Linked DNA regions of Caenorhabditis elegans. The protein of the gene in region 1 interacts with the protein of each later gene in a biochemical or structural test. Each region holds a gene or a part of one and is shown in the gene's direction. Other genes may lie near its edges. The genes, in order: sre-28, dlg-1, dsh-1 and mpz-1.

Region 1 (5,497 bases):
GGAAGACAGAGAATAATGGCCAATGGATCAAAAAATGGAAATGCTGAAAGTGCCAATACTTCAAGATAGTTAAATCCTCTGTAATATTTAAATTATAGCCAAATGAATCCGGATATCTTGATTTACCTTCCAAGATTAATGTTGAAAATTGGACTGAACCAACAAAGAATACATGGGGAAAAAATGACAAAAATCGGTATAATTGTCTGGACAATTAAAGCTTTAAGAAGAGCTTTTTGAATGGTTGTTGTGGTTTTACTCATATGTAACGTGTTTTCGGTCAGTTTGCTCATTGTCTAAATAATCAGAATTGAATTAAATTACTTCAGGATTTAACTAACCAAAAAGCCGAAGATTGCATATAAATCAATAGAAAATAATGAAATTCCTGCAACTGCTATCCAAGATCTTATGATAACGTCGTCTGATGCTTCCTAGAAACAAGATAATTGGTTCAATCTGTTGTGGTATGAAGCAGGGGTGTGCGGCAAATCTCAAAATTTGCCGAGCTCGGCAAATTCGGCAAATTCGGCAAATTTGCCGTGCTTAACAAACTCGGAAAAATTATATATTTTTTGATATTTTTTGGAGCATCAAAACTACTGAATTCTTAACACACCTCTGGTTTCTGAACAAGTTAGGTGTAGTGTGTCTGCTTAAACATCAAAATAACTCAATTTGTTGTCATTTTACTAAATTTTTGGCGAAAAAATCAACAGTTTTAGTCAAAATTGTACTGTCAAATTTTTGACGTGTGCGGCAAATTTCGAAATTTGCCGAGCTCGGCAAATTCGGCAAATCTACTTTTTTGAAATTTGCCGTGCTCGGCAAATTCGGCAAATTCGGCAAATTTGCCGCACACCCCTGGTGTGTATGTCCTGGAAGTTTTGACGATTTTCAGTTTTTGGGAAAATTGATCTTAGAAAGAACTATGAAGAGCAAAGGAAGAAGTTGTGAAAAAAAGACATTACTATTGGTACGACTATGGTCACAATGGAGTAGAATATGTTGAATAGTGCAAAAAATAGCAGAAGATATCGATAATGGCCAAACTTGTTTGATTTTTCCGTAAACAGCAAATACACAAAAATTGGATTTATTATAAATGCAAAGGAAGCAAAGATTTTTGGAATATAGTGATGAGCCCAGTTTATGTACATTTTGATGATGGAATGAAATGAGAAATGATGATGTGAAAACAATACACCTATAGTTTTTAGTTTTCTGTTTTAAAATCATGTGAGCTGACCCTAGAGATTTAAATATAAACTAGAATTCTACCGGAGGCCGAGGTTGGCAAGAACACAAGAGTCCTGAAGTTGGAAAATAAGTTTGATTAATTTCGGAACTTTATTTCATTTTGCCATTCCAATTTGTTCTCATCATTGACTCATTTGAATGATTATGAGCTGCAAATATCTAAATGTAAATTGATTCTTGAACAGTAAGTCAACCAACTTTGACACTTTCTGCCCGAAAAATGGTAAAACTAAAGCAAATAGTTAGGCAGTAGTATAAAAAGGTCTGTTCTCCTTTGTTCAAATTAAGAACTCGTCTATTCTTCTGATTATTTTAAAAATGAACGCTAAATTGTAAGTAGTTTTCAATAATTTTATAACTTTCAATGCAACCAATTTTCAGCCTTCTCTGTGTATTGGCTTTTGCCATGTGCTCAATTGTTCAAGAAACAAGTGCTCAATACTATGGTTACTCTTCATATTACCCAACATACTATGGAGGATATGGTCCCGGAGCATATAATGGATACTATGGTGGAGCTTATGGATACGGGGAATATGGATATTATGGAAAGAGAGAAGCTGGATTTGGCCCAACTCAGCAAACCAAATAATTCTGTGTTTCTCTATCTTTCAACCACAATAAATGGATAAACAACATTTTTAGTTTGCTTCTTAAATGAAAATTTATAATAGTTTGAGTACGAAACCGTAAAAGGTCACAAATCTGAACATTTTTTGACTGATCAACAGCGAGAACCACCTGCTTAATGGAATATAAATCTATAATTTTTGAGAAATATTTGCATATATTATATAGGTTCAACAGAAAATTAACAACAGAGGAGCTTTTCGAACAAAGAAAAGAGTCGATCTGAATTTTTTCAGTAAAAGTCTTTGCCACTTTCGAAGTCAAAAAATCACAGAACTTGCGTAAAATCCTAACTTTTTGCAGCTATTCAATTCGACGAAAATATGCCTAGCTATTTAATCTACTTTTTTAAATGACATGGGTTTGTAAAAGTTTGCTCACACACTCACAGAGCGTCTTTAGCTACGTGGCCTAAAAAATGTAAAAGCTCGGCCAACAATTTATTTTTGATTTGTCAAGTTAGATCTTTCTGAAACTTGCCAGCAATGACCTTGAAAGGGGCTTCTTTACTTAAAATGAGAACAATTTCGAGGAAATAATCTTTATTTATTGTATAAGGGTGACCGAGGGTTTTCATATCATGACGTGATAAAATCGCTCCGTTCTGCTGAAATTCAAAAATCGTCCCGCTGGCATTCACATCAAAAATTCTGATACCAAAAAAAAACAGGAGAGCAGGTGAAAATCAAAGATTGTCTTTATTCTTCATAAAGTTTTTCTTGTTCATTATTCAACCCAAGACATGATTTTAAAATTGGAGAAAACTCCAACGGATTCTTCTTATTTCTGGTTACCTGTTTATCTTTACAATGAACCCGATATTGTGAGAATTATAGTTTCAATAACTGAACTTATTTTTTATTTTTTCGCTTTTTATATTAACAGCGTTTGCCTCAAAGTGTACCTCAAAATACAATTGTTTCATTATAATTTTATAATTTTATCAATTCCAATGTTTGGACTTTGGTACGAGGCTATTATTGGGAAAATGATTGTAATGCTGTATAATTTAAAAATATTGAAAGTTATCGATCATGAAATATATTTTTTTGCTTTATATACAGCTGATACTGAAAAAATGTTAGTTGTCAAATCTATCAATGGACTTGAAATGTTGATTTTGTCTGGTTTTATTCAGTGGCATTACATATTTTCAATGCTTTTTGGTATTCTTGCAATTTGTATTGAAAGAATATTTGCTTCAATGTTGATAGAGTAAGTTTCAAGTATTAAATTGTAAATTAATGTACTCTATAATTATAACAAGTAATTAACATAATTCTAAAACGTTTTTAATAATTTCACACACGGAAAAGCGTTAATTTGTCAGAAAAAGAGATTTGAAACTAATTTTTCAGCAATTACGAAAAAAGTACACAAATTTGGATTCCTGTTGTACTCATTGCAATAACACAATTTTTTTCAATTACTGTTGCATTGGGAAATCTTTTTGAAATAATTGGAATACTCGCATTCAATGGTTTTTGGATATTCACTGGAGCAATATCAGTAATTGTAAGTTGATAGTGAGTAATTTTTGACGTTGGAAAGTTTGAATACTTTTTGCTAAAAAAACTGCATTCGTGTATTTTAAAAATTGTCTTCTACAATAGTTTGATGGTATTTTTTAAAAGAGAAGAAAATAAAATAAAAAAAGATTGAGTAGATAACATTTCAACAAATTCTGGCTACTATTTCCAGCTTCATCTTGTCATCAAGAAAATAAATAACGACTGGCAATGTGAAATGGAAAGCCCGAGACGAAAAAAGTTCTTCACTATTTCCCAAAGATTTCAAGTGAAGGAGAATTTACGTGCTCTACGAGTAAATTCAAATTTCATTTTTGAAATCAGTTATAATCTTCTTTTCAGGTTGGCAGGAGATTGGTTATATCAGTTATTGTGACTGTAGTTGTTTGTGGTGTTGGGATTATTGCGCTCATTCTTGAAGTGGTTCCACCATTTTTATGTCATTTTGTTGAAAACTGCATTTACCTGTGAGATTTTTATATTACAATACATCCACCTTTAATTTTTTCAGAAATCCATTCCTTATATGCACAGTCACAATGTACAGCACTCATGCGTGGAGAAATGAATTTACAAAATATTTTCCGTGTTGTCGGTATTTTGGAATTGCCAAAAAAGTGAAGATAGCAACAGTTCTGTCAATCGCGGATTCAAGAAAGAATACTGAAATTGAAACTCAAACTTACTTCAAAATGCTCAATGACTCTTGGGTTTAAATGTTAATCAATATTTATTCTTTTAATTTTTCCAGCGATTCATCAAAGTGTAAATGAAAGTAGAAATACACTTGTTTAATGAATACCAATTTTAAAGAACAATTAAACACGAATATAATTTTGTGATTTTATTTGTTGCGAGCACTGTACTGTACTTCATATCATAACAGATGGGTGCACACCAAAGTTATATAAATGTATTCACCGGCGACAAAAAACATGTAAACTTCACTACACCATCCATCAATTTCATGTTTGGTTGACAAGTAAACAACCAAAAAAAAACTATAAAAAGCTCCCTTCTAAAATGTCAATAAAGGACACTTTTTCCCGTCACCTTATTTTTCTCCTTTGTCTTCCCAAGCCGACTAAACAGGAACAATTTGCATAAATGGTGCTTTTGAAGAAGTACTTGAAACATCAAACAACAACTCAGATGACTTCATTTTCAGAGTTATGAAATAAAGAATTTTTGTGAATGATTGGGTCATGATGAGAATGATACAAGAATGCAATCATTCAAACTAGAAAAAAAACGAAAAGAGTACGGGAGACAATAAAAAAAATTTAAGAGCCGGTTGGAATCAGAGCACACATTTCAACGTGATGGTAAGTTAATCTGAAAATTGAAATTATTTTATCTTAAAAAGTATAACAATACGAACAAACAATACAATTTCAAACTTACCACAAGCACAAAATACAGAAATTCCTCCTTTGCTGGTTGATATTGTTCTATTTATTTTTATTGTTCCTCTTGTCCATCAAAGATACGTGCACGTTTACCCCGAAGTCCTTTCAAAGACATCATTGGCACTCGTTTGTGATAAGTTGGATCCCTCTTTCCGCGTAAACCACGAAGGCCCGGGAATGCGTAAGCTTCACCTTCAGAAGCTGATGATGGTCCACTTCGTTTGTATTGAGAAGGCCAGTATACTTGTGCCTGTAATTTGGATACTATACAGTTTATTACTGCTTCACTAGATTTACTTTTTGACTTTACGCGTGCGCTAAAAGTTTACTATTAAAAGTTGGCAAGGAGAAGAAATGCTAAAAACATCACCTCCGAAGTTAATTTTACTTTGAAAATGTTCAAATAAGTTATGTTATCTGATAAATTTCTGATCCGGAAGTAAAAATGAAATCATTTTTATTCTTATTTGTTGCAATAAGGTTCAGAAGAAAACGTAAATAGGAAAACGTTTTTGTCAAATCATATTTTTAGAGTTTTTTTAATAAAAAGAATCAACAAGTAATGAATTACATTGCATGTAATTTTTCATAATATTGAATTCTTGCTGCATTTTTTCAAAAATTTTCAATTTCCTATATTGACGAAGGTTTTTCTAGACCTCCCTCATT
Region 2 (9,076 bases), on another chromosome or scaffold:
AATCGCTACAGTCAAGGCGCACTAAAAAAACCTTTTTAAAAAAATAGAAAAAAATATGACTTTTTTAATTCCATATTTCGAAATAGTAGTAGAGTATTCGCCTCGCCACAACTTTTTTGGCGCATTTGTTCCCGGCATGTTTTTGGTACAATAGACGACGTTCGCTATCTTCTTCCCGCATGTCGTGACTAATGTCCCGTTGGCTTGTACATGTTGAATATAATTTCACACACACACACACACACACACACAGCGTGACGCATAAGTTAGTGTTGTTTTTTCTATGCTGGCCGGGTCTGTTCCACTTCTCATCTTGACCATTTATGTTTCGACACTGTGATTTGTTTCAAGTCGACTTGTTCCTGTTTTTTGTTCAGTTCTTTGGAAATCAAGTGGCTATTGAAATATATTTTTTGTGAACTCAAATTTGCAGACGTGTCTGTGACCATTAATTTCAAACTATACAATTTTATGGCATTATTTTCTAATAAAACCCCCATTTTGTTTAGATAAAATTGTTAGTGTTCTAATGAAACATACATTTTAGAGCGAAGATAATTTTAACTATTTAACTTAAAGAGACGTGATGGGGTGGTAACAATTTAAAATTTCTGGCTTGTATATATTTTTGGCATCTGTGATAAAGACAAATTGTAGGAATATGTTAATTTAAATAAACTTAATCCAAAATTTTTGGATTTATTTTTCAGGACTCATTATGAAACCTTCCAGGGAGCCAAAACCCTCCGAACTTAATCTCCTTTATTTAAATTCAGAATTTTACAAAATATCCAAAGATAAAAATACCTAATAATAGTTTACTAATTTTTGAATTAGATGACAACCTTTCAAAACAATCGACTCCCCGCTCCTCCTACCAGGTCCCTCTCCGATGGTGCGGTTTGTCGCCTCGCGTCTATAATAAAACCACCGGCGGAGGTGGTTGGTGTCCAATAAACGTTGAAGACCCCCACCGTTTATACCCAAACGCCCTTCTTTTTTACCTCTTCTTCTACTCAAGCATATCTATCAGATCTCTCACACACAGTCTTCCCTTCTGGTAGATACTAATCTAGAGTAAGATGCGACCCGCCCGGAGGAAGACGAGAGGAATATTTATATTTTTCCCCCTCATCCAACCTACTGAATCATACCAATAGTTGGTGGGAATTGCCGAACAAAAAATAAACATATCCATGACTCGACACAAGTGAAATGCGAAACCTAGCGTCTTCCATCTTCTATGTACGGGATATCCTTCTATTTTTCTATCCACGATGGATTATGATTTATGAATCTTCCTAGATTTTTCAAAAAATTTCATTTACTCCTTCCCCTGCTCGTTTTGCTCTGCATCTTGTTTCTATTATTTACATCAAGTTCGCTAAAACAAACTCAATGGCGGCCTGCTTGTGTGTATGTGTGTGTGTGTGTGCGTGTGTTTGCCGTAAATTCTTGTTTCTTTCTGATAAGTTATGTCTTATCGCCGCACAGTTTTTCCTTTTCGTCTTCAATGCCTCCTTCTTACCGAGCTCTGTTTTTAGATTATTAGAAGCATTAAAACCAGTCGTCTATTTCTATTTTCAGTCTCAAAAACTTGTTGATCAATTTAATTTTTTCAATTTTCAGCGACCAGCATCGAAAGAAAACCGATCGGAGTGGGAAGAACGCCTCACCGAAGGAAGGAAGCATGTCCCACGAGTCATCGGAAAGTGAGTTCTAGACATTTAAGTTTCAAACTGTTTCTATTTTGCAAAACGTTCAATGTCCACTAATCTCAATTGTTTGCCACAGTTTTCTCCTAACCAATTATCACCGAACCCATTTCCTACGGTCGCCGTGGTCGTTAAACTCAATGTCACAATGACCAGAATTAGCCAAGGCAACACACCAACTTATGTACATTCTTGCGTTTTCTACGCTCCCCCTTTCCCTGCCTTCTTATGACTTCAATGCGATGATCGCATCTCAACAGTCTTCTTATCACCTCGAAACTGCCAAATACGGCCACCCCGCCTCATGAGGTATTGTGGTGTTGACACTTACACATTTCGATACACATACACATATACGTAATAATTTTGCTATATACGTTTTCGAAAAGTTCACACTACTCGGAGCCTCCTCCTCCTCCCCGCCAGGTGAATGCTTTCTGGCGCGCATGATGGTGAGGATGCGTCTCTGAATGTGCAAACATTATATTTGTATAAGAAGGCGAAGAAGACGCAGTGGGAGGAATAGAAGGCAAAAAGAAAGAGGGCAAAGAGAAAACAATCTGTTTGTGATGGTGTGTGTACGTGTCCGACAGTCCAACCAGGAGTCTCCCCTTTATTCATCGGAGACATCTTTCCGGGGCCAGTCTTGTACATTCCGAAGGGAAAGGGGAGAAAGGAGGGAAAACGAGGGAGATTGCGCATCCTCGCAGGGTGACTCATCGTTATTTGCCGGGATGGGAAAGAAAGCGCATGATAACCTTTTTTGTTGACCATGTTTTGCCGCAAAATGAGTCATCAACCTAGACTTGTTACACTTTGCGACTTGGGATGTGCATAATCCTACAACAATTATAACTGAACATGAAACTGTATTTTCAGAAGCGCATAAAGCGATAGAAAATGTGGAGGACTACTGCCAGACACTGACAAGACACGGCAATGAGGAGCTACGCACAAACCTGGAACGAGTTATCACCACATTCAAATCAAACCTGATGCATTCGTTGCTCGACATTCACGATCTGTACGAGCAGACGCTGCTCAGCGAGCGAAAATCAGATGCAGAGAAAAATATGGAAGTAAGGCGTGTGATTGAGCGACTCGAAGGTGGACCACACTCCTACAACAGTCGTCCGGCTGCGACGACTTCCACGTCGAACTACAACCTTTCAAGCACAACTCCACTTATTTCAGATGTAAGCTCTGCTTTCTTTTTTTCTCTGGATTTGGATTCTAGATTTTTTTAATACTTTATAAAAAAAATTATTTTAGCTGAGAGATCGGGGAGGTTTCTCGTATTTGAACGGCGGAGGCCTTGGAAACGGGCTTGGGAATGGACTTGGAAACGGACTTCTGTCTTCTCCGTACAACTCATCCAGCACTCACTACCTTCATGAGCGTCAACGTCAGACCAGTCATGATGGAACATGGCGGGAAACAACCACAAGAACAGTTGACACTCCAAGTGGTCTTGAAAGACGTGTGGTTGAAGTAAGATAATTTTGGCTCAATATTAGTTTTAATTATCATATATTCAGCATACTGGAGTTATCGATGATCATGGTCGTAAATGGGAGCTTGAGAATATTGTCTTGGAGAAAGGTCACACCGGCCTTGGATTCTCGATTACTGGAGGTATGCGCGTTCAACCGGTATTTATGATGTAACATATCTGATTATAGGTATGGACCAACCAACAGAAGACGGAGATACTTCTATCTATGTCACCAATATTATTGAAGGAGGTGCCGCACTTGCTGATGGGCGTATGAGGTAAAAAACCGCAATTTAAGATGAACAGAACTTTATGGTCATGTTTTTTTTAGAAAGAATGATATTATCACTGCAGTCAACAATACAAACTGTGAAAATGTGAAGCATGAGGTTGCAGTCAACGCATTGAAAAGCTCCGGAAACGTTGTTTCGTTGAGTTTGAAACGGCGTAAAGATGAAGCCTTTCTTCCAATTGGAGGAAACTTTGGCGGGTCGACTTCTTACCTCAGATCAGGAGTCACTCCATCAGTGAGCGCCGGCAACTTGCAACACGCAATTCATTCTCCATCGGCTCCGATTCATCCACCACCGCCACCACCAGTTCATCACGGATCATTGAGCCAATTATCTGTTGGCCAATATCGTTCCACACGACCGAATACATCCGTCATTGATCTGGTTAAGGTTGGCGACATTTTCTCTTTCCAAAGTACAAAAGAATCTATGTGAACTTTTTTTAGGGAGCACGTGGACTTGGTTTCTCTATTGCTGGTGGTCAAGGAAACGAGCACGTTAAAGGAGATACCGATATCTATGTGACGAAAATCATTGAGGAGGGAGCAGCTGAATTAGACGGAAGATTAAGAGTCGGAGATAAGATTCTTGAAGTTGATCATCACTCTTTGATTAACACGACTCATGAAAATGCGGTCAATGTTCTCAAAAACACTGGAAATCGTGTTCGACTTCTTATTCAGCAAGGAACTGGGGCAATTTTCAATGACTCGGCGAGCCAACAATTCATGCCAACTACCCCAATTCTCAGACGTAAGACAATCCCAAGAATCAAAAATAATAATATAGTTTCTAATTAATTTCATTTCAGCTAGCTCCGTTCAAGACTACAACCGCTCTCAAATGGGATCTCAAAGTCATTTGTCTTACGGAGGACCACTGAACACCAGCTACAGTTCACAAGCCCCCATCGCAATTCCACTCGAACCCCGTCCAGTACAACTTGTAAAGGGCCAAAATGGACTTGGATTCAACATTGTTGGCGGAGAAGACAATGAGCCCATCTACATCAGTTTTGTTCTCCCAGGAGGTGTTGCTGATCTTAGTGGAAACGTGAAGACTGGAGACGTTCTTCTTGAAGTGAACGGAGTTGTTTTGAGAAATGCAACCCATAAGGAAGCAGCTGAAGCATTGAGAAACGCTGGAAATCCCGTTTATCTCACTCTTCAGTACAGACCACAAGAGTATCAAATTTTTGAGTCCAAAATTGAGAAGCTGAGAAACGACGTGATTGCTCAATCTAGAATGGGAACTTTGAGCAGAAAGTCTGAATATGTTAGGTAAGAAGATTTGTTTACTTATAAATGTATACATATATCAACGAATAACATCTTTCAGAGCACTTTTCGATTATGATCCATCACGTGAAAACTCTGTTGCTCCCCATAGATCAATGGGATTTAACTATGGTGACATCCTACATATCATCAACTCATCTGACGATGAATGGTGGACAGCTAGAAAAGTTCACGAAAACGGAGAAGAAACAGCTGAAGGAGTGATTCCATCAAAGAAACGTGTCGAGAAGAGAGAACGACTTCGTCGGAAGCAAGTCAACTTCAACTCGGGATCGCAGTCTCTTGGAAGAAACTCGAGCACTACTGGATTGGAAAACCGAAGAGGAAGCCGCAGTCAGCTTTCCTTCTCCAGAAAGTTCCCATTCGTCAAAAGTACCGACCGGCTCAACGATCTTAATGAGGAATCCTCAAATGTAGCTGAAGAGCCAGTGTGGTCCTACCAGGCAGTTGAGCAACAGGCGATCAACTACGTTCGTCCAGTGATCATTCTTGGAGCTCTCAAAGACCGAATCAACGATGAACTTGTCAACCGCGACCCTTCGAAATTCAGTAGCTGCGTTCCACGTAAGTTGTGAAGTTATTAACTACTTTAAAAAAGAGAACATTTCTAAATAGTATGTGCAATATACTCATAATACCCTTTTCAGACACTTCCCGACCACCACGCGAGGGAGAGGTTAACGGACGTGACTACTACTTTGTCAACAAGCACAATATGGAGGAAGATGTCAAGAATAATCTCTTCATTGAAGCGGGACAATTCCAAAACAATCTCTACGGAACTAGCATTCAAAGCGTCCGAGATGTCGCCAACCAAGGAAGACACTGTATTCTGGACGTCAGTGGAAATGCTATCCGACGACTTCAAAGCAATGCCAATATTCAACCAATCTCGATCTTCATCAAGCCCAGCTCTGCACAACAGATTCTGTAAGTTAAATTGTAAAAAGAAGCTTTATCAATCTGCAAAATTTCAGTGAATTGGACAGCCAACTTGCCACCAACCGACAAGACGATCGAGCGATGAGTGGCGAAGAAGCTCAAGCGCAGTATTCCAGATGTCATAGAATTGAGCAAACTTTCGGGGATTTGTTCACGCGTATGTCTTTTTTCCAACCATTATTATCAAATATCTGATTTTTTATTTATTTCAGAAGAAATCTCAAATGTGCACAGCGCGAATGACGTTTTGAGCAAAGTGTACTCCATCATCAGCCGTGAATCGCAGACGCCAATTTGGGTGCCACGTCATTAGATGAAATTGGATATTTTTTAGACAAATAATCGTTTCTTCAAGAAATATGTCTTCTTGAAATTAATTAATATACAGTTTAATTTACCTTAATAATTAGACTACGCCGTGTTGTGATACTTTTTTTTAATCTGAGAAAAGTGATCCTTTGAAAAAACTCTTGATGTCATTTGCTTTATCCTGTTTCCATCCCCATCTTTATTTGTATTTTGTTTAGTACCCCTTCCCTATTATGCATTAATTTACATGACCTTTCCAAGTTCTCAATTCAAGAAACTCTACTACTCGAACTCAGAAACGTGAAAGGCCAATATTTCAATAGTTTTCTGATTCTTTTTTTCTTTTACCTTGCTCATTATTTTCATTTTCAATCATAACTCTCCACAATCACTGCCAGAAAACGGTGAATCGTTTCTACTTTTGTCTCCGAATATTTTACTACGATAGTTTGTACTGCCTGTTTTCTCTACAGCCCATTTTATCTTGAAATTCACCTTACAAATACTTGCATTTTATAATCCGCCCCAGCTTTCCTTCCTTCTTCCCTCTCCTTCCTCCCCCAACTCAATTCACTTCTTACTTGAAATTGTGACAGTTTGTGATATTCTCAACGCTTCATTTGTCTCTACTAACCGCAAATCATTATCATATTCCCGACTCTCTACTGATGAAAAACTTCGGCTCATTTCTATTTTTTGGGACTTTTATTACTCTGAGAGCATTTTATTTTCATCCATTGGTTCCAAACTTTTTTTTTTTAATTATTTTTAAAAACTTTTTATACAAATTATCTTGAATAAAGATTTTATTGCATCTGCAAAACATACATGTGTTGAAGTAACAAGAAAAAACTTTATTTTCAGTATATCAGGGTGTTCTGAAAATGACTGCGGCAATTTGTCATTAAAAATATTCATTTTATTAGATCGCTGGAAAAATTCCGAAACAAAAGGATTTGAAGTACTCTTCAGAATCCGTTTCGAAATGTGCTTCCGTAGCGCAGTAGGCAGCGCGTCAGTCTCATAATCTGAAGGTCGTGAGTTCGAGCCTCACCGGGAGCAATCTTTTTTGCCTAATATATTTCTTCGACTGAAATATTGTTCCTGATATTTTATTAGTCTTTCAATTAACGAAAAAAACATGTATTTTAAACGCAAAATAAGATTAGAATGATTTTAAAATATCAATAATATTTTAATTACTGACTATGAGTTAAATTTGAGATTTTTCAACTAGACTATTTACAGTTGTGATATTTTCAAATCCCTGTCCCACTTGGGATCTCAGTTTTTGCATCCTTTCTCAAGTCCTTTGTGAAGAGTTCACAACGTGCTTCCGTAGCGCAGTAGGCAGCGCGTCAGTCTCATAATCTGAAGGTCGTGAGTTCGAGCCTCACCGGGAGCAATTTTTTTTTTGAAGTTTTCCCAAGTAGCATAAGTTGCCATGAAGAAAACTGTAATTTTAATTTAATTTTTAATTTAACTGTTTAAATTCATTTTTTAATTTGAGTCAAAGCTAGCAATTTATTTTATCTCACATTTTGTTAATTTGAAACACAGACTGGCTCGAATTTAAGAACATTTTTTTATTCTTTTGATCCTACTTTGCAGACGTTGTTCAGTGCTTCCGTAGCGCAGTAGGCAGCGCGTCAGTCTCATAATCTGAAGGTCGTGAGTTCGAGCCTCACCGGGAGCAATCTTTTTTATTTTATTGATATCTTGATTTTAAATTTATGAATGTTTATAATTGTAGAATAGTTCCTCATTTTCTCATTTTTAATTTATTTTTACATAGCAAAGTTACTTGTTTTACTCTTTTCTGCCTCATTAAATGTGTTTCATTGTTTTTATGTTCACGCTTTAATTTTTCTGTAACAATAGTATGATATCGCTTACGGTTTAAATAACTTTAAAAGATTTCAGTTCTACCATAGTACCATTGAGATAAAATAAAGGGTAAAATAATTGAGCTAGGTCATGTCAGTGACCCCCTTTCATGCAATTTTTCGTGTGCGCGCACAAAACGCGTCAATAGGATGGTTGACGTCTTTTCCGTGTGAACGTGCGTGCTTTATGAACGTATTAAAGTTTATCGGATATTCTTAACTAGTTTCTCACAAATTTGTTTGCATTCCCAACTTGTATGACGGTTCTTTATTTTTTATTATTCGTTTTTTTTTTTTTGGAAAATGAGACAGTTAATTTTATTCTATTGTAATGTTTGTTTACTGGTTTACTAACTGAATTTCTTAGTGAAAATAATGTTTAATAAAAAGTTAAAATGAATAATGAATATCTCAAAATAATATAGTAGTTGTGTATATCTTCTTTGAATTCGTAAATACCTTCAAAAACAAATTTCCCAGATCAACCATGGCAAAAATGAAAATGACACAAGAGGAACTAGTGCAAGCATTTAATCAATACATGCCAAAACGACCGGTTTATCCTCCACTGGTTCACGATGATGACGTGCTCGCACATTCCGCCACAGAGTCGGAAGGAAGTGACGAAGAAGAGGATGATTTGACGTAATGTTTTATTTAGCTCATAATCCTTTAATAATAATTGTTCTGAACGTTCAAGAAATTTTCTAATTCCAAAATAACCAGTATGTGGAAGTATGTCCAAAATTGTGGTCCAAAAATGTGATATTAAATTTTCACTCTGTTAAAAATATTTGAACAAAAATTTATATGCGGTTGCAGGGAAAAAACAAAAATGTTTTTAAATAAAAAAAACTTTGGAAATGTTATATCCAAAAGGATGTTATAATAATACTTCAAACATTTTTAGGCTTCACAATGTGTTCAGTTAAAGTTTTTTAAACCAAAATTCTAAAAAAGGCTTCTTGAACAAGCTTTAAATGGCTCCCATCAAAAAATTAGTGGGATAAGAGCAGTTTTAACCAGAAAACGTTCATTGTATTATTTCACCAAGGCTAGACAGAAATTTTAAATTTTATTTGAAAACTTTGAAAAAGAAAATTTTAACTGTCATTTTTTGACCAAGTTTACATTCTTT
Region 3 (9,647 bases), on another chromosome or scaffold:
TTTTCAAAGAACTATAACTATTGTTGATACATTCAACGCAACCTGAATTTCAGTGATGAGCACCGATTCGGAATCAATGATCTCGGCAGCAATTCCTGGATACTTGAAGAGTGCTGCCTATAATCGACGGTTTCCACAACATTATTTGGGTTAGTTTCTTTTTTGTTTTTTGGAAAACGGGTATATACTCGATTTCAAAAAAAAAACACTTTAAATAGTTCTGCACAATAATCTGTGGGCCTCTCATGCAATCACAAAAGTGCCTAATTACACGTATAGCCAGTTGTCAAGGCTAGTGAGCATTTTTGTGAATGCTTAGATGGCTCAAGGCTTTGTATGGTAAAAAAACAAACATTAGCTTTTGGGGTAATTGAGAAACGGGAAACACGATGAACTTGGTCCCAAGTGTTTCAGAAAAAATTGGAAGAAAAACCTCGTCTCAAAAAGTTCTTAAGAAAGTTCTCGCAAACTTTTACATTGTGTCAGTGAACCCAATAAAACTTCCCCTCATAAAATCTTGATCACATCATTTCAACACTTTCACCCCATCATGTCCTTCCGTTGATTTTCATGTTTTATGTTGGTGTTAATGAGCCGATCTCCCAGATCACTTCTCATAGATCATAAAGAAATGAGAGAGCACAGAGAAAGGACCAATTGTTTCAATTCTATCTTCTGGGCTCATCTTGTTGGCTGGCTGCCAGTCAACCAACCAACACACATTTCAATGAGTGGAGATCTCCTCCTTCTTTGCTTTCATTCAATGTTTATACATACATTTCATTTCATTTCAATTTAATCACACACACACACATACATATCGATGATTTCCCCAGTGTGATTACGTGGAATTAAAATCACATAATTGTGGTTATTACCTGGTAGCTGGGTGTATAAATCAATTGAAATTCTCCCTTTTGTGTACAACTTCTTTTCAAAGTATTTTAGTTCATTGTGTTTTTCTGAAAATTTAATCTGAGGAGCATATTCTCAAATTCTATAAAATTCGTATTTTATAATCTGTTTTAATTTTCCTCCAAATTAGAAATTCATCCAAACTCTCTTTTGTTGAAAATTAAAAAAAAAGTATTTTGTTACTTTTGAAACAAATAGATTATTATTTTCAGGATATCTAGTTGCATTGAAAGGCTACCCAGCTGTTTTATTTCAAAAATTTTTGTTCTGAAATATCTGACAATGACATCTGAAAATGGTAAATTGCGAACAAGTCACAGCTAGTTTAGTTTAGCTTCGACATTAGAGAATAAAAAATTATTAACCAGATACCAAAAATATCTCTTTGCGACCTTAAGAACTGTAGTGTACGGTAGAATTTGTAAGCATTGTTAATTGGAAAAATATGTTCTTTGACATCCAATTCTCGATCTTTTGTAACATTAGTCCTTGAACTTCTCTGTTAGGGGGTCAACCGGGCTCCTTGCTTGCTCCACCACTTTTTGTGAGAAACCGTTCTCTATATCTCTGTGCTCGACGTCAGTGGGAATGAAAACCCGAAGACCGATGAGTTTATCACAGTGTTTATCAAGATGCTTTCCTTCTGTCTCTCTCTCCACTTGAACACTCTTCTCGAGACCTCATACCACTTCACCCCACTTTTAGTTAGTTTTTTTTGTCCGCTCACTTGTCGATTTCTGTGTATGTTTCTACTTGTCACTATTATCGTTTTTGTGTCGAAATAGTCTCTAGTACCCACCCCAGGATCTCATAATATTGCTCTCATTCTCGTTAACACGAAAATAGATATCTGCCTTATAATAGTGAGATCTGTGGTTTTATTTACTTTCGGATATCCCTCACTTGTGATTTCTATCATGATACCTATCGGGATTTTGGGGAGAAAAGACAGTTTGATAATGATCTTTTCTATGCTTTATCCGCTTTTCCTGCCTCCGATCAATGTTTGCTAGCCCATGTGTGTAGGTGGATTCAAACATTTGATTTTATACTTCGTCATCATCAAGAGCCATTGCAACATGTTTCAGTGAGATCAATTTGCAACTCTTTGTTCAACTAGTCATGATGAAAAATTTTCGATCAATATTCTTTAAGCAACTGCCATTTAATCTGACCATAGCAAATTGTGTTTTCCTCTGGATCTCTGCGGTGTTTGACTGTGAGCCATAAGTCAAGTTGCAATTTGTTGATATAAATAACTGATAGTGAGCTCTTGGTTTTAGTTGTCATGTGCCATTTTCCAGCCCACCAGTTGAAGAAATTTGTTAGTTGAGAAATGGTAACACTTATTCTGAAGCTCTTTTGCGAAACGGGGAAAATCTTATTAATTGATAGCCACATAGTTTCGACCGAAACGTATTGAACTATAATTTTAATTTTATTAGATGTATCAGTGAATGTTAACGATTAATTAAATAAAAGTTAAATGAAAGCAAACATTTGTCTTTCAAAATAACATCGAGATTTAAGCGTATAAAAACTTGAGTTTTTTTTAAATTTTTCTACTGTTATGGCTTGAATCTTAACAAACTCATAGACCAATTATATTATATTAAAATTATAATATCTCAATCTTTGCATTTCTCATTATATAGGAATTTATCAATTTTAGATGTCACTATCATAGTCGAGTCAATTGAGATTTAACATGACATATGTCAAGTCCGATTAAAGTTTAACGACAGTGTTTATGGTGTCAACAGGATTATTTTGAGTACCAACTTTCCCGATGTGTCGACTATTAAATTCTCAGTTTCTCTCTAAATTCCCAGCACATGATAAAAGTAAAACGAAAGTATCTGTTTCTAATCCAAGTGCATCATGAGCCACAAGATGGGATGCTGGGAAATTTATGACCCCCCATCGAGGTGTGTTTCTCGTTTCTTTCTCTTCTTTTTATTACCTTCAAGCTTTTTTATTACTTCCCAGCTCTATTACTATCAAAAACTTAAAACCGATTTTCTAGAGAACGACACGATTGCTCATAGCTCACTAGCGAGCAATGAGTATCAAGCTTGGAGCTCGAGATAGAGCCCTTCCATCTCCTTCTGGCTCCTCAAATACCCCATCCACTTCATCTGATATGATTCGCTCATTATTATTCACTTCAAAAGAACGAAAAGTCCGTTCGACATACACGGCTCCTCCACCAAATCGACAACACTCGCCGGGAGTTGTATCACAATTGATTAACAAGATTGAGTTGAAAACGTCACCTACAAATACATCGTCAAGACCAAAAAAGAAGAAAAAGGCTCCACCACTTGCTAAGATTGATGATCTTGATTTGGTTGATGATGAGAAAACTATCGTCTCGGAAGTTGTAAAAAGTCCAAGAAGGAAGAAATATACAGGAAATCCATTAGGAAATTTGAAAATTCTGAACAACATTCTCCCTTCCTCCAAAGCTTCTGATGATAAGGAAAATTCAGGAAGCCAGCAGCAACCAAGTACGGGGAAAAAGTTGAAGAAGAGCAGAAGTAAAAGTCGTGTGGAGCCGGAGTCTGAGGCACCATTTCGATTAAAACGGACTTTAACTGATCTCACAAATAATCATACACCTGCCGGATCCACATGGCGACAGATGGTCTCAAATGCGCTCGGTGGTCCACTTAAAAAACGGCTCAGCGAGGGGGCTCTCCTGTTTCCCGGCACCAGCAAAGCATCAGATGATTGTAACGACGAAGAGGGGGATAATACTAAGACGACAACGAAGCGCAGATTTTTACAACGACGGAAACAAAGCGAAAAAAGTGCAGGAGGCGCCAACGGAAAAGAGTCCGGTGGTGGTTCCGCCTCTTCATCGTTTTTTGGAGCTCTTATCAGATTGTCCCACTCGGCTGCAAGTTTAACGTCTTTAACTTCACTTGGTGGTTCAAAATCTCGGTCTGCATCTCCATCACCATCAAGTTCTCGATCTAATACTAAAGAATTCAAAGAGAATCTGAGCCCACCTCAGCCACCACCACCGGATCTCATTGCACCAGCTGCAGCATTAGCCAGACCAACTTTTTCCCTTGCGGCTCCTGATTCCCCTGTTTCACTTGCTCCGCCATCTAGGGAGCTCAGAAAATCCAAAACGTGTCAAATAACCACCGATCGTCCACCTATTATTCCTAGTATTACTATATCTGAAAGTCGAAGTTTGAACCGAATCGATAGGTGTCGGCCGGTCACTGTAGATGGAAGTGGTCTATCATCTGATTGCCGACCTCTTGTTTCACGAAGAAGCACAATGAGCCGTACAATGTCACTGATTCCAACTAGTCCATCGCTTCCGCCACTTTATGAGGAAGAAACAGCAAGTACAGCGGCAATGGTGGAAGAGGAGAGAGCGGATCGAGCACAGAAGCGCAGAATGCGAAGGTACGGCGGATCAAATACAACAAGTACTTATCAAGGAAGGAAAGATGTTGCACCGGATGCTTCGCCGAGAAGACATCTTATTGGATTTCTACATAGGACGTCACATCTATCCTTAACCTCTGAACTTAGTGCAGATGCATCGTTTTATTTGATCGGTAGGTAAATGATGGCGAAAAATGATGTGATCAAGTAAAGGGTAATAGGTTCAAAAAACAAAATCTTATGAAAATTTGAAAAAGCATCGAATTCTAAGTTTTCTTAAATTCCAGGGCACCGACGACATCTCGAAGAATCAACAATTGGCTCCGAATCCGATGCAAGAGTATTTTCAGATGATGATGATAGGTATGTTTTTTTTTTTAATTTTATAAACATAGGTTTCATTTCATTGAATTTTTATGTAAAGCCAGTACTCTGGTGACAGTGTTCCTTTCAAAATTTAGTGTATTTTATTCGGCAAATTTTTATTTATAAAAAATTAAAGCAAAAGTTTAAGTTATAATAGGGCTACATTCAGGTCTTGCAGGGCTATCTCAAGGAATATGCAACATTGAAAAAAATTTACATTCAAAATATAACAACTCATAAAAACAAAACCAAGTTTACGAATAGGCAATACCCCTTTGAAATTTTAAATTTTAAATATTTTCAAAAATTCGATGGTTTTCATTTTGCCTCTCAAATAGTTAATACCTTTTTTTGTGTCTTCTCTGTCTGTCACATAAAGTGACAAATGACTAGGCTTAAAGCGGGCCTTCATCCCCGCTCACTCTGCCCCCAATGATTTCGCCCTTCCGCTCCTCAAATAGTGAAATGAGCGGCTACATAACTGACGATGATTTCGCAAGCTCTGATGGTAAAGCCTATTATTCAACAACTTCCACTTCAACTTCTGATTATTACTATGCAATTGGAACAGCTCCGCCGAGCAGCACGGGTGCCACAACTCGCGACGTGTCAGTTCATTTATTCTGCGATAAGACACAGCTCGTTAAATTTGAGCAATTCCTGCTTGGCGCTTATCTTCTAGCTAAAGCCTGGTAGTGACTATCACAACAAGCTCTTAGTGTTGTGCACTATTTGAAGGAAACTAATAAAAATTGGGGAGGGGAAGAAAAGGACGTGAGAACGGGTGGAAAGAGATGGATGAGAAGTGGATAATTGCTTTCGATAAATCTTTCAGTTCTTTTCGGATTTTGTGGAACAAACTTCTAGGTTGTAACTTTAAGGAATTTGAACATTTTGTTTTGTGCAGTGCTCCGCTTATATTTAGAATTTCACGGAACACAATTCTCATTAGTTTTCCTTTTTTAGCTAGTGAAAACCATGTAAAATTTTAGTTGATAACGTTCAAAGTTACTCACGAGTTGCAAAAATCACTGAAAACCACAGTAAGATTTTCAAAAAATTATGAAATTTTTATTTACAGTCCAAAATGGAAATTAACCAGTTTTCGCTTATCATAAATTAATAATTCGATTTTAAAAAATTTCTACAGTTTTTTTTTAAATTTTAAAATCATTTGTATTTATTTTGTGGGGCATCGAATATGCAAAGCTTCTTTAAGTTTCTCAATAAGACTCAATTTTCAAAAGTTGGACTGAAAATTCTGAAAAATCTATAACAATTTCAACTATAAAACGTTCAATTTTTCAGAGGCTCTACAACAACCGATTTCACATCAGTATCCCGACAACATGAAAAAATGGCAAAGAAAAAGAAGAATAAAAGAAATTTCCGAAAACCCTCTAGAGCATCTTCGTTTTCAAGTATCACAGGTATGACCTCTTCGAAATTAGCATAACTTTTACCATTCGAATTCCAGAGTCCTCTATGAGCCTTGATGTAATAACAGTGAACCTCAATATGGATACAGTCAATTTCCTTGGCATTTCAATTGTTGGTCAAACTTCTAATTGTGGTGATAATGGAATCTACGTAGCAAATATCATGAAGGGAGGTGCAGTGGCATTGGATGGAAGAATTGAAGCTGGTGATATGATTTTACAAGTCAATGAGACCAGCTTTGAGAATTTCACTAACGATCAAGCTGTTGATGTGTTACGGTAAAAATTATTATTTTTTACTGAGAGCTTATTCTTCAACATATGAATTTTCAGAGAAGCTGTTAGCCGTCGTGGCCCCATCAAATTAACTGTGGCGAAAAGTTTTGAAAATGGGCAAAGTTGTTTCACAATACCAAGGAATAGCAGAGAAGAGCCTGTGAGACCAATCGATACTCAAGCATGGATCCAGCATACGAATGCAATGAGAGGAATGCCAAGTATAGTTGAAGGTATGGTTTTTTGATTGGAAGTGTAGAAAAACTAAACAAAATACCTGCCTGTTATTTGATTGATCTTTTTATTTTTTGCAAAATTATAAGCTGCACTCTCAACCTATTCAACTTCAGGCTGAAATTTATTCAGTGCATTTCTTCGCTACTTTCAAGTTGATGTTTTTCAGACTTCTGATGTTTTAGGATATTTTAAAGTAGAACAACATTTGGAAAGCTTTTTGGAATTTTCAATTTTTTTTTGAAACAAAAATAAAAATATGAAATTTTTCACATCTCTAATTTTGAAGGCTGAATGTAAAATTAAGTCAAACCTTTTTTCTGCACCAAAATTTTGAAAACAGGTAGGCAGGCAGGAAGACAGCCTCGATGTTGTTTTTTGTTCTTCTTCTACGTTATTCTCCTACAAATATCTATTAATTAAAAAATTTTTTCCAGAAAGTGCACCGACACCAATTCCTGGTGAATGGCCTCATGGTCGACCGCCAAGCAGCTCAACGGTGACCTCAAACGGATCAAATGGTCAAAATACAGTAGTCGGCGGCGGAGCTCATATTATTCTTGATATACACACTGACAAAAAGAAGGTTGTCGAAATAATGGCTATGCCTGGCTCTGGTCTTGATATCAAAAATCGAACATGGCTCAAAATTCCGATTCCCATGTCGTTCTTGGGTAAGTTTTGAATGAACGTGTAGAGCCTATTCTAATTCTCAATTTTAGGATCTGATCTGGTCGAATGGCTTTTGGATCATGTTGAAGGGCTTCGAGAACGGAAGACAGCACGAAACTTTGCGGCGGATTTACTGAAATTAAAGTATATTGCACATGTGGTGAACAAGGTCACATTCACTGAGCAGTGCTATTATGTCCTTGGAGATGAGTGTTCAGGTAGGAAAGTATACATTTATTCGGAAAATGTCAAAGTTTTTGTATATGAAGATGGAAGTGGGTCTTTTGAAATCTTTAATGCAATTTTTTTGAACTGAAATGTTAAAAATTTGTTTTAAAAAATTATTTTTTTCAAATTATATTTTTAAAACAAATTTTTCACTGATGCACAAAAATGTCTGCCTGTAATCTCCATAGGAATGCAAAAAAGTTGGTTGCATTCAAGGCTGCCCTGCCTGATTCAAAACATGAAATTCAACCCTTCTTGTTATATCTTCTAAATTACTTCCAGACTATGCCCGATTCCGAAATGAAGATGGTGGACCCAAATACCAATGGACCATCGGAATGAACGGAATGTCTGCTGGCAACGGAAGCTCTGTGATGCTCCCACCCCCACATTTACCTGGAGGTATGGCTGGCCCTCCTGGAGCTTTTAAAGGGATGGCTCCGTCAATGGTAAGCGACGGCGAATCGCGCATGTATGTAATGCACATTTAGAATGTCATCATTTTTCTTCATGTTTATGTTTCATTATGTCTGGTAATCAATGCCAAAATGGCATAATTCAAAATAGTTTCTCTCACAGTACACCATGTACCCGGTATTACAATAAGTTCTAATTTAATATTTTGTAACTTCTAAGTCTCCAATCATGAATCAAAATTTCATATGTTCCCGGTGATTGTAATTTTGGATGTTTTTCCTTTATTTGATTATTCTATTTTTGAATCTGTCCGTCGATTTTTTGTTGCATTTCCTTCTCAAATTCACACGAATTGCGATCTTCTTCACGAGTTCCCCACATCCTTGTCTGAAATAGATGCACCCTATACTAAGAAAAAAAACGTCTTGTTTTCTATTGCATTTGCCCTAAAATTATTGTTTATATTCGATATCATTGTTATTTTCTCGCCCCCTCATTTCTCAGTAGCATGTAAATGTATCAGTCCAATGTTGCCACCCACAAGAATGACAGAATAATAAATAATATTCTGAATCAAAAGAATGTTGTTATATTTCACACCACACGAACATTGCAAAGTGAGAAATATATTATTTGAAAAATATATAAACAGGTAAGTGGATATGCATCAATGCCGGCTTCACCATTCCCACCAGCTCAATTGCAGCAACAGAGAAGAGAAGGAAGTACAACCAGTGGAAGTAGTGGCGGTGGAATTAGAAAACAGTGAGTTTTTCCACTATAAACATACAAAGAAATTTTTGTATTTTGTAAAGATATATAGCTTTTTTAAACATTTTCAAGAAAAAAATAAAATTCAAAACCACACCAAAAGAACTTGTTTCTTAAGTTGGAAAAAAGTGAAAAGTGTGAGGCACTGGAAATTTAAAAACTTTCGTCTGAATTTCTCTGACTTCAAAAGTTCCAATTTTATATAACACGGTAGACTCTAACATTTTTGACATAGTTTTTCGAAATAACTCCCAATATAATTTTAAAATATTTCAGACGAGTTGTTGTTCTTCCCAGAAAACCATCATCGTCTGCAAATGTTCCATTTGATGATAGTTCTACAATCTATGAAGAATCAAATAATTCATTTCTTATGGCAACTGGACAAAGATACGAGTATTAACTGTTAATATTAATTCAATGTTTTGGTGCTTACTTTTTGAGCTGTATAAAAACTGTTATTTATTCAAGATTTTTGCTTATCCGCCGCCTTCTTAATTCTTGTCGCGAAGGCGGTTCAGTGGAATGCTTATTTATAAACTTCATTTATTAACAATACTTTATTTATATATTATCATTAGCAAATGGAGTTCACTTGAGTAAATTCAAAACTGATGTTTCTTCCACAATTTCCTCCTTATATAGACATCGGATATGACTTTTCACGTAAAGGTAGCAAAGGTTGTTCCACGGTGTTATTGGCAGTTCAATTGCATCCTTTTGATCCTAGAGTTCCTGTGTGAAAGGGTTTCCTTTGTTGTTGTAGACGTTTGGCCATGTTGGAGTTGCTTGCAGGGTGGTTCCTTAAGACGTGTCGCCGCTCGGTGGAGTGAGTCGAGTGCCATAAGCCGGTGATATAGTCCTTTTATATTCTAAACAGAAGTTAGTCGAGAATAGGAGAGGTTCATTCTGTCCGTATTT
Region 4 (6,408 bases), on another chromosome or scaffold:
GAAGTTTTGAAGTGTGTACTTTCAACATAATTAAATTTTATTTTTCTAAATTCATTTGTTTTTCAGAACCGCCAACAAAACTCGTGAAAAGAATGACAACTTCATTTCCCATCTGAGCAAGTTCACTGACATTGAAAATGTTCCAGTAAGCGCGGAAATTTGTTGAACAGATGTTAAAATAATTTTTTTACAGCCAATTTTGGTGGCTGCCAATCGAATGTTCATACGAGAGTTGGTCGTTTCTCCGATTGCAAGTACGTCGCCAGGTCTACAGCAGTTTGCGAAAATGAAATTATTTTTATTTCATGACGTGCTAATTGTAAGAGAGTCTTTAAATAATTATTTTGAATAATAATTCTGAAATTTCAGATCACGAAAATACGCAGCGAGAAGAATACAATGCAACGTCTAGCTCGTCACGCGTCGTTTGCCAGTTTACATTCGAGACAGCGTCGCCCCTACAGGTACATTGACCAGATACAGTTGAACACGATGCGTAGTGCATTCCGAATTCGTGCTCCCGACGAGATTGCGAAGTGTCTGGAGTTGCAGCAGCAGAACGGAAGCACAAAGCCAAATGTGTTTGTATGGTGCCTGATTCATCGTGACGAGCAAGGTGGTGACATTGACACAGTCTTCGAATCGAATGATGATGAAGAGGTTCGAGATTTTCTCGACGATATTCATGTGAAGATCTTGAGTGATTGTGGGAGATTCTTCTACTCGTCGGATCCATCAGATATGAATGAGATCAACGATGCGATGGTTTCGGATATGACAACTCGATACTTTAGAAAGTAGGCTTATTTCAGGTTTCAAGTCTTTAGAAAAAATCAAAATTTCAGTCTTTGCGGAGCGAAACCACAATATGGACACGGCAGTCAGATGAACATTACGGTCAGTGAACGATCTACACAAAACGTGAGAAATGAAGTTTGATACATGAGTGGAGAAATTAAAATTGTCCACAGTGTTACACCTAACTTGAATGCTTATATATAAACTTTTATTACAGGAATGGTCACACAATGAGTCGTTTATGCCACCACCACAGTCACAGAGTCGAATGCGACGAGCGTTCAGTAATGCTCAACTCACACTTGCCACCACGCTGGGCTTTGGCAGAAATCAGAGTCGAAATAACTTGGGACAAATTAGTGCGTTTTTAGAAAATTTATTTTTTTTTCTTCTGAAATTGTATTTGATTCACTAATTTCAGACGAGAACACGACATTTCTGCAGTCTCCCAGAGTTTCGTGTGATCCAGCAGCTCTCGCAAACATGACGTCAGTCGGCGGATTGCCTGGATGCCAAAGCGAATCTGAATCGACGCCAAAGCGAGGAATTCGGTACGTCAATGCACCCCACAGATTTATCGGAGACAACACGTTTTCGAGATCTGTCCGAAAAGTCAATTTGAAGATCTACGGTTTCAGGATGTGGCACCGTGTCAACTAGAAATACTCGTAGTTTTATCGAAGAAAAACTTAACAATGATGCTCCTTTGTTGTCACGTTTTTCTTCGAGAAAACCACGAAAATTTCTAATTGGCACGGTGCCAGATCCTGAAGCCGTAGATCTTCACATTGTAGATATTCTTTTAGTAGATCTTCTTTTAGTAGATCTTCTTTTCGGCCGGATCTTGAAGGCGTGTTGCCTCATTCATTGACCATATTTTCCCATGAGTTAATGCCAAATTGACACTCTACATCTAACATATCCTGTTAGTTATTTCAGTTCTCGCCTCACCTCGACAACGTTCCTCGGCGGCCGACACAACATACTCGGACGAAACACGTCGATGCGCCGTCAGGCTACCGGATTTGCTCATTCGGAAAAGGAACTACCTCGCTCAAAAACATCTTCATATCGTGTCACCGATATCTGAAACTCCCCGCACCCGTGTAACTGATAACTCGAATCTCTCCTCCGACTGATAAATAATTCGTTCTCACTCTTTTCCGAGCTTCATACCTCCAGATGCTCACCGGTGTATTTTGATGGTTTATTTCTTGCTTGCTCTCAGCTCCCTCCCTCTTACATTTTTCATGTTTTCACCCGTAGTTTTTCATTTCGTTTTTGTAATTACAACAACCGAAACTACCGTAATCACCATCCACAACTACGACCAGATCCTTTGTATCATACTGATTTACCATTTACCACAGGTGTATTTTTCCCCCCAAATCGTCATTATCATCTTCCTGTCCCCGAGGCTTGTGTGACCATTGCTCCTTGACTTTTATTATTTCCCCGAAATCACTTGTATGCCATTCTTATCCGATACCCCTTTCCCCTTTTATTCTCACCATTCATTTGAATGGTCATTCCCCCACAGTAACGTTACGATTACTTTTTTCTTTTTTTTTGAAAATTCAAATTTTATTCTTGTTAGAAAATGCGATAGGGGGTTCAAATGAAATTACACCCTACTTGTCTTTAAGTCTTTGAACTCTCTAAAAACAAAGAAACAAAGATGAGATTAGTGAGAAAAAGGAAACATGGGCGGAGCCTTATAGATGGCCCCTGGAGATTTCATATCTTGGAGCACATGCCGCTTGGCTTTTATTCATTCATTCCGAAACACGTCTTGGCCAGGATCCTGCATATTAGTATATTTTAAATTCAGATTTTTAAATTTTTTTTATCTTCTTAAAATTCGAGCTAATTAATTGTGATTCAGAATCTGGAATACATCATTGAATGATCGATGAGCCAGAGGATATAATAGCAGTTGAAGATGAAGCCGAAAGAAGGTAGGTCTGAAAAGAAAAAATGATTCGAAAGCGAGAAAAAAGATGTGCGTCTTTAATAAGTACAATAACCCGCAGATTCCCGTTATTTCGATAATTTCTCGGATTTTTCCACACATTCTTGCTAGAAAAATATTTTTTGTTCAGAAACAAAACTGAAACTTCTGGTAAAAGTGAATAAAATCGAAGAAAAATGGAAAACGCCGCAGCTGGGTTACTGTACAATTTAAAGGCGCGCACACTTTTCGCGCAGCCTCCAAATTTTATTGGGGAAAATCGCTAAAATTCGCAATTGGATAATAAGAGACTGTTTGAAAAACTTTCTCATACATTTTATCAGTTGATTTGGGGCACGATCGCGCTCCACTGCCAAATTAAAACGCCCCGCCCCTAAACGTTGGGTCTCGTTAGGAATTGGCGGCAAAACTAGAAATTCGAACATTTTCAGTCAATTTTCGCCAGTTTCGTTTTTAGGCTGTTTTTTTAAAATTATTTGTATGTTAAAATTGATGAAATAAAGCTGGTTATAAGTTTGGTTATAAAAAGCTGCGGCAAAAAAAGGGGGAAAATATATTTTAATAGAACGAAGGAAATGCAATGTCTCAATAATATAGTTAGACCCTTCATTTTGTACTCCATTTTTGGTGTCCCCCCGTCCAGAAGGAGACGTCTTCCTTTTCTTCTGCTTCTTCTTCTAATTATGCATCTCCTCTATACTTTTCCTCATCTTTTTTCTTCTTCGTTTTTTTCCTTGGTCCCATCTTTATTCCAATGTTTCTTTGTGTAGTACCACTACCATATGTTGTTCTTTTAATACACTTTCCCTCCTTTCTTGCCTCATTTTTCTTCATATTATAGACATGGTGCATCATGACTTGAAGCATCATGCACCCCCAAAAAAGAAAAAAAAGTAAACTAAGTCGAAAAAGTTTTCGAAAAAGCCCTTTTCCCTGATTCCTATACAAATAGCATTGTGCCAAGTGGACGTTGTTTGGTGGGAAAAAAGGTGCATAGAGAAGGGCGGGGGTCCCGGAGCCGGCTCAATGTTACATCCGTTTCGGAAGAGTTGAAGTAGACAAGGAGAAAGATGAATTTAAGGACTCTTGGGAACTACGCTAGAACACCTTTTCGCTTTTGTTTTCGGAAGTATAAAAAAAAACAGAAAAACTTAAAAAAAATAGAAACTTGATTTAAGCATAATGATTTTTCTGTACACAGAACTGTTATGGGGTTATTCAAGTAGTGTCGGAAAATTAAAAAGTGTAGAAAAATTACGTCACAACCTTATTCAAGTATATAAAAACATGTATTTAAATACATTTGTGACGTCACAAATGTATTTTAATACATTTTGCTACATTACTTGAATAACCCCATTACTCCAAAAATACGGTACCCGGTCTCGGAACGATAATTTTTTTGTTAATTTCAGACTGGTATGCGTCTTTAAAGTGTACTGTAGCCACAAACTTTTCTCATTGCAGATCGATTTTTTAACGCCTGTAACAATGTATATATGGGAAAGAAAAGTATTAAAAATCGATGAAAATTCCGCAGCAACAAATGTTCGAATTTACAGTACTTTTTAAAGGCGCATACCTTTTTGAATTTGAAAAAATTGTCGTGTCGAGACCAAGGACCGTATTATTGAGATAACAATCCGAACGCTTTGGCATCGGGGCTCCGGGAGCTTACCTGAAACCTTTCATCATCTGGAAGAAAACCTAAACTTTCCCGTTTTCCTTTCTGGAAGAACAATATTTCCGAACAGTTGCTTCATTGTTTATAGTTTTGGAAAATAATATTATAAGTTGCCGTATCTTTTTGTTTTCTTTCAACAAAAGATTCAATAGATTTGATTTAGGGTTGTCATACTATTTTCTACCATACGGTACCTACAGGCTTCACCCAAGTAATTAGAATTTTCGCATTCCTCTAAGCTTGGCTACATTTTTTTGTGAAGGCATTTTACAGGCGAGTGACGGGTGACATTCTGTCGCGCCTCAGTAGAACGCGAAGACGGGTGTTTCCACCTGAACCTTCTCACCCAATATGTAACTAACTTCTCAAAAACCAATCCTGGCTTCCACAGGACATCGATTCTCACCAGTTTCTCACCCGTATCAATCGGATAAATCTGGTCTTTTCTTCTTCTTCTTCTCAAGATGCTACTAGCCACCAACACAGAGCACGCCTACTCTTCCTCTCCGTCCGTCTACTCCGCGGCAGCTCCTCCGCCGCCAACTCCTTTTCTTTTCTTCATCTGCTACTTCTTCTTCTTCTTTTCGTCTTTCTGCTCCAACGCAAGACGATAGCTCAATTATCCACAAACACACACACACACATGGAGAGAAATACACACACACAAATGCATCACATTCGCACTCCGGGGAGGAATAGAAAAATAGACGTCGTGTACTTCCAGATTCTGGTTTTTTCTGATTTATGACAATTTTTTCCATTTCTGTCGTACAGTATTTTGTTTAACATTTTTTAAAAATATCTATATGCTGTCAGCACTTTTCATTCCGCCTCCAAGTTTAATAATTCCCCAAAGAACTTTTATCAATTATCCCTAGAAATTTGTTCTCTACAACTAATGTCGGCGTAACAGTCATGCGTAGGCGTTTTCGGCGTGAGGCAGGCAGAGGTCACCTTCAGGTTTGCCCTAATTTTGGATTTTTTGGCCTATTTTTCGAATTGCTTTTTTCCAACAAATGGATAGTTTTCAAAATGTGAATTTTAAGTAAAGATTTTTTTGAAAAAAAAAGAAGCTGGTCGCCTCGATGATTTGAGACCTTGGATAATCAGCTCGAAACTGGTAGATTATGTTTCGATATGAGTTCGGTTATGGATGGTTACTGTACACTATTGCTGGAAAACCGGACGTACACTTTACGTACACCAAAATCATGCCAGTCTTACTGTACACATTTTCAATATTCCAGAACATTTTTTTCTTAAAATGCACACAATTCTACTGAAACTTCTTGGAAGACGAACCTTCCATCCATCATGCCCAAGTGTTTATTCTTCCATTTTTCGACCTCCTCATCTTCCATCTTCTCCGCCTTCATTCCTTCGTTTTTTTTCACATTTCCACTTTTTTTCTTCATATTTCATTTTTCGTCTTTTCTTCCTAATCCTCGTTTTTCTTTCATTTTTCAATGTCCCTTTCCCTTATTTATTGTTTCCAATATTTCCAACAACAGCTCCATTGGACATTTCAAATTTCAAATGTCCGCCCGTTCATTTCTCACTCAACCTTTCCGGCCGTAGGAAAAATAAAGATGAAACTGGACATGCAATTCGTAGTTTTCTTTCGTTTTATTGATGTCTGGACATGTTCGGTTTCTTTTTGGAGAACCTTTTGAAATATCATTTTTTGGAAAAAAAATTCAAAAAATAGTAGCACCAATATTTTAACACCATATTGCTCGAAATATTCGAAATATTATAAACTCTCATTTTCAAATTTTCTTCTTGGTGCTCTTACGATGCTCTATCAAATGTCTGCCGTCTCTCCCAATCAAACAATATTTCCATCTATCAAATGCTGGTCATTGACAACGATTGAAAGATTCAATGAGCTTCAGCTTCTTCTTTCAATGTTATCTTTTCAAATTGATTTTTCTCAGGCGTTTCAATTTTTTCC

Evidence for each region.
Region 2: the proteins of sre-28 (region 1) and dlg-1 form a complex in vitro, tested with the Caenorhabditis elegans proteins (one study listed by BioGRID).
Region 3: the proteins of sre-28 (region 1) and dsh-1 form a complex in vitro, tested with the Caenorhabditis elegans proteins (one study listed by BioGRID).
Region 4: the proteins of sre-28 (region 1) and mpz-1 form a complex in vitro, tested with the Caenorhabditis elegans proteins (one study listed by BioGRID).

The regions. Positions count from the first base shown.
Region 1 is NC_003283.11:9,941,761-9,947,257, forward strand, and holds sre-28 (Serpentine Receptor, class E (Epsilon)), read left to right. Parts: upstream 1-2,632; coding exon 2,633-3,105; intron 3,106-3,248; coding exon 3,249-3,405; intron 3,406-3,591; coding exon 3,592-3,714; intron 3,715-3,761; coding exon 3,762-3,886; intron 3,887-3,930; coding exon 3,931-4,135; downstream 4,136-5,497. Other genes in the region: fipr-12 (FIP (Fungus-Induced Protein) Related), read left to right, coding at 1,579-1,592, 1,642-1,852; nlp-58 (Neuropeptide-Like Protein), read right to left, coding at 4,881-5,078.
Region 2 is NC_003284.9:5,478,071-5,487,146, forward strand, and holds dlg-1 (Disks large homolog 1), read left to right. Parts: upstream 1-1,629; 5' UTR 1,630-1,690; coding exon 1,691-1,712; intron 1,713-1,921; exon of another isoform or gene 1,922-2,032; intron 2,033-2,148; exon of another isoform or gene 2,149-2,426; intron 2,427-2,594; coding exon 2,595-2,911; intron 2,912-2,987; coding exon 2,988-3,206; intron 3,207-3,253; coding exon 3,254-3,350; intron 3,351-3,397; coding exon 3,398-3,488; intron 3,489-3,541; coding exon 3,542-3,893; intron 3,894-3,949; coding exon 3,950-4,256; intron 4,257-4,314; coding exon 4,315-4,783; intron 4,784-4,841; coding exon 4,842-5,365; intron 5,366-5,448; coding exon 5,449-5,731; intron 5,732-5,778; coding exon 5,779-5,900; intron 5,901-5,955; coding exon 5,956-6,056; 3' UTR 6,057-6,871; downstream 6,872-9,076. Other genes in the region: C25F6.1 (Condensin-2 complex subunit H2), read left to right, coding at 8,426-8,583. UniProt on the Caenorhabditis elegans protein: Essential multidomain scaffolding protein required for normal development. Recruits channels, receptors and signaling molecules to discrete plasma membrane domains in polarized cells. Required for proper embryonic elongation.
Region 3 is NC_003280.10:5,214,005-5,223,651, reverse strand, and holds dsh-1 (DiSHevelled related), read left to right. Parts: upstream 1-2,977; coding exon 2,978-4,496; intron 4,497-4,610; coding exon 4,611-4,686; intron 4,687-4,984; exon of another isoform or gene 4,985-5,188; intron 5,189-5,997; coding exon 5,998-6,119; intron 6,120-6,166; coding exon 6,167-6,407; intron 6,408-6,461; coding exon 6,462-6,637; intron 6,638-7,075; coding exon 7,076-7,312; intron 7,313-7,360; coding exon 7,361-7,528; intron 7,529-7,820; coding exon 7,821-7,987; coding exon of another isoform or gene 7,988-8,029; exon of another isoform or gene 8,030-8,532; intron 8,533-8,607; coding exon 8,608-8,720; intron 8,721-9,002; coding exon 9,003-9,129; downstream 9,130-9,647.
Region 4 is NC_003280.10:10,774,422-10,780,829, reverse strand, and holds the start of mpz-1 (PDZ domain-containing protein), read left to right. Parts: upstream 1-2,703; coding exon 2,704-2,756; intron 2,757-6,408. Other genes in the region: ect-2 (Protein ECT2), read left to right, coding at 1-11, 67-145, 194-319, 370-797, 846-921, 1,016-1,157, 1,220-1,349, 1,738-1,888.